Lytechinus pictus: one gene and its partner. The protein of the gene in region 1 interacts with the protein of each later gene in a biochemical or structural test. Links are inferred from orthologs where the notes say so. Each region holds a gene or a part of one and is shown in the gene's direction. Other genes may lie near its edges.

Region 1 (7,891 bases):
CATCGCTTCATTGCTGAAGTAATATTTGCCGAAACTCCTTCTCGCTACCCACCGGGGCTCTTTCCGGTAAGTAGCAATACACTAAAAAGATTTTAGTCATTATTTGGAAATAATAATAGTACAAAAAGAGCAAATTCGCTTACCTCGGCCTGGAAAGTGACTTCGCTTGTCTCTTCTACGGAAATACAAGGAAGCCCATTGGTGGCGCTAATAAATTTCACAACCTTGATTCAGCTCCTCGGTAATTTTATAACTGTGTCTAAATTCTTTGAAAGCGCAATTCTTATGATTATTTGGCTAATTATGGGCACCAATAATTGAAATACCTTCAAAAACATAATTCAAGATTATTATTGGCGATGATAACACTTATTTGCAAATTATTTAAAACGATGACAAATAAAAAAAAATTGAAAAAAATACACATGCCTGGAACGAAACCAGCAGTACAAGCTTTAACGAACGCCAATAATACGGTATACCAATACAATGAAAAGATTGGACACTGCACGGACTTCGCGTAATGCCTTGCGTCGATTTGCGTGTAAAATAGATTAGGTGCCAAGTCTTTCCCTTGTCGTGTCTTTGATATGAATATAAATCGCGCGCCCTCTTTAGGCGAAAATTGATATCCACGCTGACCAATTTTTATCTCCGTGAAATCTTCACTAAAGATCAAGAAAATATACATATTTTTTTAAAGAAACTTCAAGGAGAAGTCACGGAAGGATCTAAATGATTCGGTAAGTGTCATAGCAGAATGTGAAATACCAGATTATGCGTGATATTTTATGTGGGCAAAAGCCCAGTATATTTTGGATGGGTCGTGTGTGTCGCGTGCATATAACTGATATTCCTTCGCACGCGAGATGATATGAACCCATGGGTGGCCTGGGCCTGGGCCCTGGCATTCGACTAGACTTGAGGACTTTGTGATGATATTTTTTAATATTTTGACATAGTTGACATTTTGACATACCGGTACTTCTTCATCTCGAAGCCTTGAAACCATTTCCATACATGCATAAGCGACACCTATACACCCGGATGGATTTCCCTAGGAAATCCATATTTAGAGGGTGAAATCGGTTAGTGTCTATTTTATTTATCTATGAACCTTCATATGCCTACTGCGTATGAAGGTGTAAAAAGTGTGTTAGTTTTAATAGTAAATTAGAGGTTTCTTTCCAGACCGATCTTGTGTACATGTAGATCCCTCAATCCATTTGTAAACAATGCAAATACAATAGGCTTGACCCTTGAACCGCATCGTTATGACATAACCTTCGATAAGCGATGTTACAAAATGCCGTTTTGAAGAACAATTTATAGATAGAAATTATTATTTAACGAATAATAAAATTTAAAACTTGATTATAAATAAATAAATTATCAAGTTTCAAATTTTATTATTTGTTTTTGCAGGGTAATAGGCCACTTGGCCTTTTTTCCCCTTTAATAGTTGCCAGCCGGGCAACCTATAATATACTAGTAGTGTACAGTGTATTATAGGTTGCCCAGCCAGCAACCAAAGTTAAGTGAGAGCCCTTGATGTACAAAAATTCATTGACCAGTGCAATTTTATAAAGATACATGTAGGGGTATAGGAACATTTTTTTTTTACTTTTTGATATTTTTGAATGACCATTGATAAATGGTGAAAAATGTCCGATCTATTTCTTTTTAGCCTGAGGAAATTGTCTACTTTTCAAAATTTATATCTTCAATTAAAATGTACTCATTGTAATCAAAATGAAGAGTAGATCATCTTCAATATGAAGGAATGATGGGGGATAACCCTACACCAAGGGTTGAAAGTTTCAAGTGTCACTTGGTCAAATCACTATTATGATAGCTCCATCTCATTTTAACTCAAGGTTACAAAGTAGTTAAAAGCATCATTGGAATGTTTAGCATTGTTTAATATGGTTCATTCAAGTTGATCTGTATTATCAAATCTGTGAAAAATGAAATATTGTATAATTCAAACCATAATGAACATGAGAAATAGTGAGGGAGGGACATCATCATCTGTCTCATTTGCATCTCACCGAGTTGTGCATATATCACTGTTTTGTGAATAATAAGCGAAGCTTTCAAATGTCATAACTGACTTGTTTTACATCCGATTTTGATGAAATTTTCAGTGTTACATGCTAGTTTGATTTTTCTCTATTTATTCAAATCAACCTTTTTCTGGGGTGGACTTGACCTTTAAAAATGATTGAAAAGTTATTTTTAAGGTCTGAAATTAAAGACCACTCCTATGAGTTGGATGTCACATGTTCAGGGAGGAATTAATTGTTGTTTCACTTGACAATGAGTAGAAAATAAGAATATTTCATATTTCAGATAATAAATTACAAAAGAAATAGTGAGTGGATGACGTCATCAGTCTCCTCATTCGCATACCGATCAAGATATGCATACATGTATAACTGTTTTGTGAAATTAAGCGAAACTTTAGAATATAATAAATTTCTTACCAGTATTTTACATCTGATTTTGATGAAATTTTTTCATTTTATTCCAATCAACTTTTTGTTGGGGTGGACTTGTCCTTTAATGAAAAATCATGCGTTACCCAATGTTTTTCATCAATATGGGTAATTAGTATTTATATTTAATTAGTACTTTTCATTACATTTGTAGTGGGTTAATTAACTTTAGTATTGGTAATAACTAATGAACATATTTAATTTCAAAGAAATTGATGCATCTTTTAGAAAGTTCTTAGACAATTACAGTTCGAAAAACAGTTGCACTCCTTGATTATAGGCCTATGTATGACCCCCTGGAATAATTTTTGTGGGCAGCAACCTGGGTCTACTGTGTGTGCAGTGCAATAGAAGACATGTTCATTTATCTCTTAGTGGACTATTTTTCTCATGAATTCTGTAATCTGATTGGTCGATTTGTTTGTTATTATTGTTGGTCACAAAGATCAAAAAGGTAATATGAGCCCATATCACCCGTGTTTAGCTGTTGTTGTTTTAATTTTGTTATGCGCATACCCAGTGATGATTTCAACCACGTAGTATGAGACCGTATTATGTGTGTATTCAAGCATTGCGCTACGCACTACTATTTGCGCATCAATTTCAATTGCAAAATACCCATTCTCTTTACTGTGATCATTGTGATGTCATAAATGACTTCCTTTCATATCACTCTCAAAATGCAGGGTTTTTTTAGTACTATTGTACCTTATTCTGCAATAATATAAGGATACCCTTAAAGAGATAAAACTGTTACACCCTGCTATGGCCTGCTTGTTCTTACGAAATACGGGAACAAGCAGGGTGTAACTAATAGTATCACATGCTGTAGAGAGGGAATTGAAATCATTTTTGTTTGATATTTAGAACTGTCCAATATTTGGGCTCTTTACCCTGCATGTGTAATTCTAATGGCCTCAAAATGCAGCCATTCTCATAAAAATTCTTAAATTAATGTCTAATGTGAATGGGTGAGCAGACATGTGTGGCACCATTTCCCCCCCCCCCCCCCCCCATCTGTAAATTTGGAAGTACATATTTGCTCAATTTTTTATGAGATTTTGGCTTTATAAGAAACGATGTCAACTAAAAATTTTCTGAAATTTCAAAGAAATTCATAATTATTCTTAGGTTCAATTTTTAGATGCACAGAAATGCCCCCCCCCCCTCATACCAGCAGGACTCTCACTAGTGCATACTACCAGCAGGGCTTACCCCACCTGTTATGGATTAGATGCTTTTTCGCCCCTGTCATTCTTGATTTTAAGAACATAAACCAACTGGTTCTTAGTCCCAAATCAAGCATCCAAAGTAACGAAATCATTATTTTCTGAAAGAAAATTAAGGAAATGTGACTACAAAGAGACAATCCCTGTAATGAATAAAATTACTATTCATGTGCTACATGTACATTCTAGACTAGCTACAGATGTTAATTTTGTTGAATAAACACCAGATGACATAGTGAGCATGGGAAACACATGCGCTAAAGTTCTTCCATAATTGAAAAATGTTAAGGAATGGTGGCTCGATGCAGATCTATATATACTGCGTGAGTTCTGCTGTCTCTTTGGAGCAGAGATATAGTTGCATCTCTATTAAGTCATACATGTACACATGCTATGAGAGGCTTTGCCTTATGTAAACAATGTCTTGAAAATCACCTTCCCGCCGGCCAATTCTACTACTACCTTTTAAAACTAAGTACGACATGACAATTCAAAATATTTTGACAAAACGATTACATCAAAATTTTACTTTCTTTCCCAAAATGCTAGTCCTATTTTGTTTTTTGAAAAAAATGAGGGGATATTTGCAGCGAGTAGTTCGCCGCCATCCTGGCTTTTATCATGGAAAGCAGTTCCAATATCAACGGCTTGATCGTGTAGCGGAACTATCATGGTTTTGATTCTCTCGCCGAGCAATCAGTCTATCAACTGCGCAATTGTTTTCCATTGCACAGGCTAAGATGGAAGCGTAACCACTCAACGAACATACCATAAATAATCAGTAATAAATGATTGTGACAAAAACATACAATTTATCCCCTAGATCAAGAGATTTTACAAAATATACTTATAAAAAGCACAGATAATTGCAAAGGTTTTTGCTTTTAAATATTTTCTGACAGTCTCCCGAACTATTTATTGAATACAATGTATTGCTTGTAAACTTCTGTAAATTGCTGTCTTGTCAAGGCAAACTACCTGTATGGACAATCATAGTTTGGCAATAAATTGAATTTAGTGAACAGCATCTTTGTGAATCTGCAGTCATGATGTTTGAATTATAAATGAAGTCTTTTATGACAGGATTTAAAAGGTATTTCTCCATTTTCTGATGCAAAAAGATATCAAAGTTTCTATCTTTTTTCAATTCACAGATGTTAATAGAGTCTAGATGCTACTTTGAAGATGTAGTCTGACTGATTCAAGATTCTATGACCAGATAGCTAGTCCCAATTACTTAAATTGCATTCTTTTGTGAGGCTTGTTACTTTGAGGAAGGCAGCCGGTAATCATGCCCGGAGCATTGAAGAAACCTCTCTACATCAGCTCCTCCATTGAGGAACTCAACAAGAAGGTGGACCAGAACATAACCAAGGGACAAACTTCAAAAATGTGAGTAATAAGTTCACATTTGGGGCTAATCGATAATCTTCACATATATCACTTTGGGCATTTTAGCCCTGAGAAATATATTTACAATAAGATAACATGGATGTACCCAAACAATGATCAAGCTCATTGTTCATGAAAATAGGGTTTTTAGGGCTTGTTCACTTTGTCAACTCACAACTTCCCAGAAATCATGCTTTTTAACCCAAACGACAGTCTCATTAAATGCCACTGCAGAAAATGTTATTATATGAAAAGTATAGTATATGTCACATGTATAATTTTCATGAATCATTTGGGTTTTGCTACAAAAATATGCAGTATATTATGTTTCACTCTGACACCAGATTGGCCAGATCAGCTAACAAGGTATTCGTTGAGGCAGAAAAAGCTGATAAAAACCTTGATGAGGAACGTGCCTATGTTCTGTTCATGAAGTACCTCACACTATGGAAAGCTGTTCAGAAGGCAAAAGATTATAAGTCAAACAAGGTAAGTTTAAGTTGACTCTGTTATTATAGGTGAAAGTATCCAATTCTGTAGCAAGTAGTTTTGTTTGTTTTTTTAATAGAGGAGTGAGAGTCTCTTAAATAAACAAAATATTTGAGCAAAGGAGATAAGACATTAAATCTGACAAAGCACCATTGATTAAGTGAGTAAGCATTTACCATCTCAACAACTACTCATGCCTTTCCTTGTATTCTACATTATAAAATTCACTAACATGTGGCATAGAAAAATATGCATTTGAAATATTAACAAACTCTATACATGTATGTACCATTTTTTTCAAAGACTGGATAATATCTACTGAAATCATTTTTAAGGTTTCTTTTATTTATTTTTCTAGGATTATATTGATACTCTCATTGGTAAGGCAGGATGCAGAAAGGCTATAGATAAGGCAGAGGAACTCTCAGCATCATTGACCTTGAGGTGAGAATTCAATGTGATTCCTTAATCATTGGGAGTGTTTGGAGTATTTTTCTTTCTGGAACGAAATATTTCTAGTTCTTCACATTACATGTCAGCTTACTAGTTTTAGCCCAAAATATGTATGTTTACTGTATGCATATTTTTTTTTATAACTCACCTTTTATTCATAAAAAAGGGAATCACAATAATGGGCCCAGGTTACCAGTTCTAAACGAACGTAATACAGGGGGCAACATAAATTGAATACAGTAAAGATAGACATAAACAAACATAAAACAAGATATAATAATTATTTACATATCAAACGCGTCAATTCAATTCATAGCAAAATTTATACTTAAAGTGGTGAGAAGGTGGAAGGAGGGGATGTGCTATCCCGTGGTTTAACTTAGGTTGTTCTTATTTTGAAATGAGGTCATCGTACTAACATATGGAATTACAAAAATATATAAATTATGCAATTATGAATATATGAACAGATAAAGTGTAAATTCACATAGGTAGGCCTTAATCTTGAGTTTATATTTTGTATATGTAACAGGTGTGATATATTAAATTATATGATATATTACTGTCTGGCATATATAAATGAAACAAGAATGGTTGGAATGGGGAAGAATGAGGAAGCAAGGGCTGATGGAAAGGAAATGGTTTGGAATAGGTTGGAAAGAAGAGAAGAAATAGGAAAAGGGGAGAAGAGAATATAGATAAAGAGGTAGAGAGGGGGTGAAGTATAAGGGGAAAGGAATCAGCCCTTACGCCATAATAATCTGAACAGCATAATATTGACGGAAAAATGAGCAAATAATTATCTTTAGATGTACAACAATCATATTGGAGAAATTCAAAATGAGAGTCAGTGAAGAAGTGTCATGTCGGTCCACTGTGGTTCACTCTTTGCATTGTAGATCACGTATGAACCAATTAGTGCTAGTTTACTCATTGTAAGGATAACATCTTTGTATTTCGAGGAAAATACAACTTTCAATCTTATACCTGAATTCTCATAGATTATGTAAGAATTATATATTTTTTTAATTCCCTGAAATTTTCTCCAAATTATGTGTGCAAAAAGCATCTTGAGCTATCACTGTCATATCTTTATTTTCATTATGCAATGCAAGTAGAAAGTTTGTATATGTATAACCTGTTCTTATGTGAGGGATTTTCACAAATTTGAAATTGAAAAAAACAAAAACATAAATTTATCACCATACAAAATATCCTTGCAGCACACTTGTCACAATTTTGTCAAATTTTAATTACTATATCAATGGTGTACAGTACAGTGTAGCTATACTGCCCATATATATCTGGACACTGCATGCATCATGCACCCCATTGATTTGTCGGTGTACCAAGGGTAGCTCGTATTGGTGGGAACATGTATCACAGACATGCCAATATGCAGCAGAAGCCTTCCGACGATAAAGATCTATTTGCAAAAAATATGAGTCATACAGTAATGACCAATAATTATAAAAGGTAATCATTTTCAAATTCCTTGAATTTTCATCTTAAACAAATCATATGTACAGTGAGCTCCTGCAGTGATGGATAATGATTATGATAAATAAGTTATCATTTCCAAATTCCCTAATTTTTAATCGTATTACACAGGTACAATGAGCTAGAGGAAGCAAAGGAAGCAAGTAAGAAACTAGAAGAGGAGAAGGAGAAAGTGAAAACAAATGGTTTGAAGGATGGCAAGTCCAAAGATGGAGAGGAAGGTTCAGTGGAGAATGGAGTTCCAGAGGAGGAAAAGAAAAGAGAATTTGGTAAGATAAAGATGAAATTAATACAGCCCTTACAATTAGCAAAAGAGCCCACTTAAAACTC
Region 2 (7,835 bases), on another chromosome or scaffold:
TGTTCTTTCTCTCCTTCCATTCTTTTCTTCTCTTTTCATTCTCTCCTTCCTCTCTTTTATCATTTATTCTTTCTTTATTTTCTTTTTTTTCCTTTTTGCTTTTCCCTTCCTTCCTGTCTTCTTTCTTTTTCTCAAAGAATGAAGGAAACATTTTTCTTTCCTTCCTTCATTCCTTCATTCATCCTCAGTCTTTTTCTTACCTTCTTTTTTTCTTTCTCTTTATTTCTTTCAAACATTCATTCATCATCCCTTCCTTTCTTTTTCTTTTTAAGAATGAAGGAACCTTTTTTTTCCTTTCCTTTATTATTTCTTTCATCCTTCTTTTATTCTAACTTTCTTTTCACTGTTTTTTTTCCCTTCATTTTCTTTACTTCATTATTCCCCTACATTTTTTCTTTCTTCTCCATTCATCTCTTTTCTTTCTCTCCTTCATTCTTTATTTCACCCATTTGTTCACCCTCCCTTCCTTTCCTTTTCTTTCTTTATATTTTTATTTCTCTCTTCATTTCTTTTATAATTAATTTCAGTGATTCCTTTTTTATTTTGTGCCACGGTCACAAAAGTACATGAAAATATATGAGAGAGGAAATCATTCAAATGGCATATCAACACACTAATTTTGGTCATGGCCGGCAAGATAAAATCACTTTGAAAAAAAAAATATAATTTTACAAATACAAGGTACATCAGTTCATGTTAAAAACAGGAAAAAGGCAATGGTACATGTCCATAGAAGAGCAATTCTTTCCTTTAAACGGTAATATCCTGTTTTGAAATATTTTTTGGGGGGCAAGTGAAATATATATTCGGGCAAGTATTGTCCAACTATTTAGAAATAAAAAGATGTTATGTAGCACCCTGTACAAGTTTTAATACATTTGACATCTAAAAAAAAGGATACCGAAAAAAAAAGGCCTTTGATGCCCTTCTTGGAAAAAGATTTTGGCCTTGGTGCCCTTTGAAGTGGCCTTGGTGCCCTAAAAAATATGAGGTATTTCAAGGCCAAACTGGCCTTGCCCTAAAAATGACAAAATTTAAGGCCTGGTATCGATAGCGATAACGATATCCGGTCACATTGTCTACGCGGGAAATGGTCTTGGTTCGTGATCGGATCACTCCAGTATCGATTGAAAATTATCGAAACTCTGCAATTTCATGCATATTCACGCGACGCTCTGAAACCCGGAAATCCATTGACTTTGTGCACGTTGCGATAGACTGTACAGACTCCAACGAACACGATGCCATATCGACGCTGATTCGTAAGATTTTGACGGAAACGCAAGAAGTAATCGAAATTTGCTTACCTGTGCGGTATCGGTGAGAAAATAGATCCTCCGAGAATACCTTTCATAATTCATATAGAATATAGGAAAGTGAAATTCTAGGTCGATTTTGGTACGAAGTGATAGAGAATTGCACACTTGTTTTGGTGGAATACTGTGTGGGGGAATGGAAGGATTGCACTGCGCATGCTTACTATATTTTCATTCATAAATTGTCTCTCGGCAGTGGTTGGATGACGTCATTTTATTAATAAGCAAAATGTACGCGCCCGCTAGCGTTGAACGCTCCGCTATCCGTTTTACACAATTTGCCGATGTGACTCGTTAATGAACAAGGTTATAACTATGGGCTTGGCCTTGAAAAAAAATACTTGCGTCAGCTGATATCATGAGTCGTAAAATACTATGAAGTGATTTCACGATATTTATCGGCCGACGCAAGTATTCTTTTAAATCTAAGTTGGCACTGCTCATGATATTGTCACCCTCTATACGCGTCTAGTATCTTTGGCTACGATAGCAAAGATGGCAAGATGGCGACAATAACATATATGTAAGTAAACGCTCCTCTACTTTTAATATTTTGATGTATTCAAGCGTTATCTTATGACAGGCGCGTAGCCAGGGGGGCAGTGGGGGCGGTCGCCCCCCCAAAAAAAAAAAAAAAGAAGAGGAAAAGGAAAAAAAGAAAAAGCAAAAGGAGAAAAGGGAAGAAAGGTATAGCTTTTGTTGTTTTTTCCTTCTTTTTTGGTCAAAAGAATAACCTAAACGAGACGTTCTCTCTTCATGCTATAAATTTGCTTCCGCGCTCCTCGCGGGAAAAATATCAAAATTGCCATTCCCTTTTGTTTCCCACACCTTTTCTCTACTCCGTTTTCCCCCTTCCCGGCCGTGGAAATCGTATATTATTGCCAGAAATTATAAGTATACATGGGTGTAGAGTATGAAAAGTATTTTTTTTATATATTGCATTGATACAAAATTTTGGCTCTTCTGTTCGGAGCGGGTAAACATTACTGTCACTACCGAGTCCCCAAATGATTTTTTCTTCCGCTTTTCAGCAAGTAATTTTTGGCAAAGTGTCTGCTCCAAGGGAGAGGAAATAAATTCGTGCCGTGCTAGTTGCCATAGTATGAACGATATTAAGCTTTATTCTATATCGCTGCACATCCGTCTCCTGCCTTGTTTTGCGTCATTGAATTGAAATTTTGAATATCACTGAACTTTCTTAATAAAAAAAAGGAGGCGCTTAATACGAGCGAAATTTTTTTCTTCCAAAATAAATCACAGAGGTTTCCGTGCTTCGCGAGCATGGGAAAGGAAATGTCCCTCCTCTAGCTTGCATCATCCCTTTCACATTTTGAGCTCGTTTTTCTTCATAAATGAGCTATATATATAATCTAAGAAATATCAAAATTAGAACAGGTTAAAGTTTCAGATAAATTTCAAAAAATCAAAGCGTTTGCCTTTAGCAGGAAGGAATAGGGCCTATTTTCTTCTGTATATACCCATTTTCTACTCTGTTTTGCGACTTGAGTTAACAAAATTTAATGTTGATAAACCTTTTACACTCAAATCTGATGTGACCAAGATAGGCATATCATTTATGTTCTCTATTTTTATAAAACGTTTTAAGCTTCAAAGAGGAATTATTTCAAATTCTCCAATCTTTCCCCATTTTGGGGGGAGCTCATAATTTCTTTCGAAAACAATTTTTTTTAATCACAGCAACTCTATTTGAGTTGATAAGGGTACTAGAGATGCAAGAGACGCCTTCTTTTGATTTGAATTTGATGAGATATCAAAAACTTCACGCTCCGCGCGGGAGGGGGGAAACTCCCCCTCCCTGCACCCTCCCCCCTAGAGAGCGCACCACTTGGCATGCACTTACCACCCCCTCAAAATTTAAATCCTGGCTACGCGGTTGTCTTATGACAAAAACTGACAATTTTTTGTCAAAAGTTGCCAACCAATATTGTTGCCAATTTACATAAGTTGGGCTCAAACCCCTAAGGATAACTCGTATTTTGGCGCAACATTATTGTTGCCGAATTCGTCGGTGCGTGTAGAGCAATGGCATGCCGTCCCAGGCTTCATGGAGAGTAAGCCTTCGTCAGTAAAATGACTTTTGCTCTCCTGGGGCTCGTTTCTCAACACCGTCATAAGTCTAACTTCTTGACTAAATCGGAGATAGTGAGCTACTTGTCCGCTAACCGTTTCACGAAGCCCTCTTTACCAAGATCGGGTACAACAACCTCACTAAACACCTCCGAACTTGTCTTAACTTCTTTCTCAATGACGTAGTGGCATTACGTGGGTAGACTATGACATGCGAAAGTGCCTGGAAATTTTGAAATTATAATCTTACGTAATCAATCATAGTCATTGAATGCATTAACCCACTTGTTTTGTGATGTTATTTCAACCACTATGATAGTGGTTGAAATAACATCACAAAACAAGTGGGTTAATGCATTCAATGATAATTGTAATACAAAGAAACTATAAAAACTGTTGGTAAACGCCACAAAACCATTCATTTTGAAATAGTAAAACGATTTAATCGATAAAGATTCTACCACGTCAGGCCATCCATAACTGAACTCGTATTTGTTGTTTTCAGACCCCTATTAACAATTGGATGAATTCTATCTCTAATTTATGCATATAATTTGTCCAATTCATCATAATATTTGCAATTTTGTCATAATTTTTCTTTTTGAAAATTATGCTATTTTGTGACTAAGGCTACGTCTCGTCTGCTCTTTTTACCGATAGTATCGATATCAAGGTATTCTAGTTAGAAGCCTTTCGAGAAACAGGTTTAGTAAGATTGGAACTAACTCCGTGGTTGGTGGATAAAGATATGACTAACTTGTCCATGTGTTGAGAAACGGGCCCCAGAAGCCTCCAGGCTACTTACTAGCCACAAAACACGATCTCACCCCCACTTCGCTATAATCATGACAATACAAACTGCATGACTTCACTTGACTTCATTTGATCGAATCAAGAACGCCACTAGCGCAAGCTTTATTTTAGCGAAGTACCAACTAACGTAGAAGGCAGCACACGACTGTGTGTTGCTGCCCTCTACATTCGAAGATGTACAGCACGATATCAAAATGTCGGATAGGCGAAAGATGTTGACTGCTCAAAACGATGTCCAAAAAGCCCAAAACTTATCGATAAAACTTCATCCAACCCTAAAATAATGCAAATAACGTGAAAGGTGAGGATGTATTTATGCTAAATATGTTTGTGTAAAAATGTTATGTAACCATTTACATCCGAAGAATGCGGATTTTAAAGTGTTCTTGGTACAGTGGCAGATACAAATTTTGACCAACGCGAGTATGTGACATCGCTATAATGGATAAAAAATACGTATTGATTATTTTCTTTTGTCGATAGTTATCGATATCGGTAAGATATTTTTAGTGCGATATCGACAGAGAATTTTCCTAATGATAACAGCCCTAATAAGCATATTATATTTGTTTATTGTCTTATTTCAGATAAAGTGACAAGTGAATCTAATACTGCAGAGGACTGGGGACTTATTCTTGACATCTGTGACAGAATTAAGGCAAATTCTAATGCGTAAGTATTATCTAAAATCAAAGTATTAACAAATGTAATGACTGGATTGCTTATAGCACATTAATGAAATTTAAATGTTGAATTTGATATTATAGTGGCTTATTCCACCCAGGTGAAACCAAACAAACGTTATATTTATTCCTTTTCCCAAAGCTCTCCAAAGATGAAAATACCTGCAGCTGAGGTGGAAAATTGTCTTCAATGGTGTAGCGATTAAGTACTCGCGGCACACCTGGTTCAAGACATTTGTAGAAATTGATGTTAAAGGCTGAAAGTAATCCAATTTTGATTGACCTCAATGCCCCTCTTATTGGCCTTAACCCTATCTAGGCCGGGGTATTTTGGGAGTTCATATGGCCGGGGGGGCCTCCCAGGCCCCCCCTTGAGATCTTGGCTGTCGACCGCGCGATCGCACCGAAAATTGGCATGCGGGTTGTCTAGGACATAATCTACAAAATTGTATAGTAATTTATTTCATGCGAATTATTATTAATGCGTAATTAGTATGCAAAATCTTACTTTTCCCTCTAACTCCCCAAATAAAGCTCCAAATGTTCTACTTTTTGGTATAGAAACTCTATGGTGTTCTGAGCAAGTGTACTTGAAAAAAATTGCGATATCAAATCATTTTCTTATGTATTATATTGTTTTTTGCAATTTCTTATGTATTTCTCTGTTTTTTTACCTTTTGTTTTTCATTGTTTTTTCAATGAAATTTGTTGGGGACTCTTCTGAGATCATAAAAGCATAAAATAAATACATTTAGACCAGCAAAACTAATAACAATCATACATTTATGAATTTTGGTTGAAAACACAATTTGCATTGATTTTGTACACAAAACCACGTTTTTGAGCAATTTTTGGTCTGACATGCTCTTACATAATGTTGCGTAATTTCGGAACCACGTACCCGGGTGAAGCAAAATTGGTCTCAAAAGTTGCGCAAGACTTGAAAGTAAAAAGTCAGTGAGCGGCACGTGAAAAAAATATCGCGCGATTCATTGAGGGGGGGGCCTCTGAGGCCCCCCCCCCCGGCCTAGATAGGGTTAAAGATTGTTGTGTCTTTTTTTCCCCTTTTTTTCTTTCTATTGTGCTGATATGTCATACTATACTTAAGTGGCCTTGCCCCCAAAATATTGAAAATTAAGGCCTGTGAGTTCACATATGATATACATGTAAGCCACTTTATTTTTCGTAAACTACATGTAAATGCAGTTATACAGTGGTTTTACATAGACATACATTTAGGCTAGAGATCATGTCTGCAAATCCATAAAGTAGAAAAAGTTTGATAAATTGACAAGAATACAAGAAGACTGACCTTAATTTGTATTGAGCAAAGCAAAAGTCTGTGCTTCATGTGTATTCAGGAGGAACATGCATAGCATCCTGGTTTCACAGTACAGTATTTTGTTTCTGCAGAATGAGGGGAGGGGGGTGGGGGAGATAAGCAAGTGTAGGAGGGAGAGCAGTACTGGTATTTAGACTCCACTAAAGACGTATTTCAGATTGCAATAAAATAAGCATTAAATATCAGTGCATTACATGTATGAAACCATGGAGAGTATTGATTTATGTTCACGTTTATGCTGTTAAAAAGAATTTAAACATAAATCTTTTATTCTCAGGCCAAAAGACGCTTTCAAGTCGATTATGAGGAGATTAAAGACCCCTAATCCACATGTCCAGTTGCAAAGTTTAGTGGTGAGTCAGTGTTCTATTCAGCACCTTTATGATTGAAGTTGAAAATGTCAAAATTAGAAACAAACAAATATCTACTTAACAACTGAATGTGAAAATAATCTTTTGATTATAATTCCACAGGGTGAAAATATGTTCGAAAAATTTATGAAATTCATCATAATTATACATTCATGTAAATTCTTCCTCTTACATCCCCAGTTATGGTAAGCTATTTTGGTATGTGGCTAGGAAGATTCTCTCAGGTCCCCTTAGCAAAATGGGGACACAAAATTAGGCTCCCATTGGTAGAAAATATAAGTTGTTACTTTGAGCGAAAAAATGTGGAAATGGAATACATATTTATTACATAGATTGTTACGTGTTTACACAAAATATATAAAAAGGCATCAAGTTACCAGAAAATGATGGAGTAGAAAAAGAATAAAGATAAAAATAGTAAGATAAAATGAAAATGGAAAACAAACAAAAAGACAGAGAGGGGGGGGGAGGGGTCAAGGGATAAATACTAGAGAGTATAAGAAAGAAAGAATAGAAAAACATAATTATAATTTAGTGTGTATGATACTAGCATGAATACCAGGAAGCCTATTTTGAAGTCAAAATATCAAAGGTCAAGGTCACAGTGACATGTTTTCATCTTACCCTTCTGAAGTCCTTGTAAATGCGATAACTTCATTTGAACTTAACCTAGGCTCATATAATTTAGTGTGTATGATACTAGTATGGATCCCAGGAAGCCTTTTGATTTTGAGATCAAAAGGTCAAGTTCACACTGACATGTTTTCATCTTACCCTTCTGGAGTCCTTGTAAACGCGATAACTTCATTTGAACTTAACCTAGGCTCATATAATTTAGTGTGTATGATACTAGTATGGATCCCAGGAAGCCTTTTGATTTTGAGATCAAAAGGTCAAAGGTCAAGTTCACACTGACATGTTTTCATCTTACCCTTCTGCAGTCCTTGTAAACGCGATAACTTTAGTTGAACTTGACCTAGGCTCATATAATATGGTGTGTATGATACTAGCATAGATCCTCGCAAGTCTAGATTGATTTTGAGATGAGAAGGTCAAAGATGAAGTTGCCATCTTCCACTTCTCTTGCTTGACGAATGACTCCATTTTCCGTGTTACAGACAGGCGTATTATGTGCTCGCCTTAACGACACTCTTGTTTTAAATAAATTCACAACTTTTAATGTATAAGGGCCTATTTCTTGGACGTAATCAAGTATCACTGA

What was found.
Region 2: the proteins of ubiquitin carboxyl-terminal hydrolase 8-like (region 1) and signal transducing adapter molecule 1-like form a complex in vitro, tested with the Homo sapiens proteins (2 studies listed by BioGRID). The link is inferred for Lytechinus pictus from reciprocal best matches to the Homo sapiens genes USP8 and STAM.

The regions. Positions count from the first base shown.
Region 1 is NC_087247.1:24,369,061-24,376,951, forward strand, and holds the start of ubiquitin carboxyl-terminal hydrolase 8-like, read left to right. Parts: upstream 1-4,880; 5' UTR 4,881-5,018; coding exon 5,019-5,119; intron 5,120-5,463; coding exon 5,464-5,608; intron 5,609-5,966; coding exon 5,967-6,052; intron 6,053-7,672; coding exon 7,673-7,830; intron 7,831-7,891. UniProt on the Homo sapiens protein: Hydrolase that can remove conjugated ubiquitin from proteins and therefore plays an important regulatory role at the level of protein turnover by preventing degradation. Converts both 'Lys-48' an 'Lys-63'-linked ubiquitin chains.
Region 2 is NC_087245.1:5,553,263-5,561,097, forward strand, and holds the start of signal transducing adapter molecule 1-like, read left to right. Parts: upstream 1-4,777; 5' UTR 4,778-4,889; intron 4,890-6,519; 5' UTR 6,520-6,544; coding exon 6,545-6,595; intron 6,596-7,835. UniProt on the Homo sapiens protein: Involved in intracellular signal transduction mediated by cytokines and growth factors. Upon IL-2 and GM-CSL stimulation, it plays a role in signaling leading to DNA synthesis and MYC induction. May also play a role in T-cell development.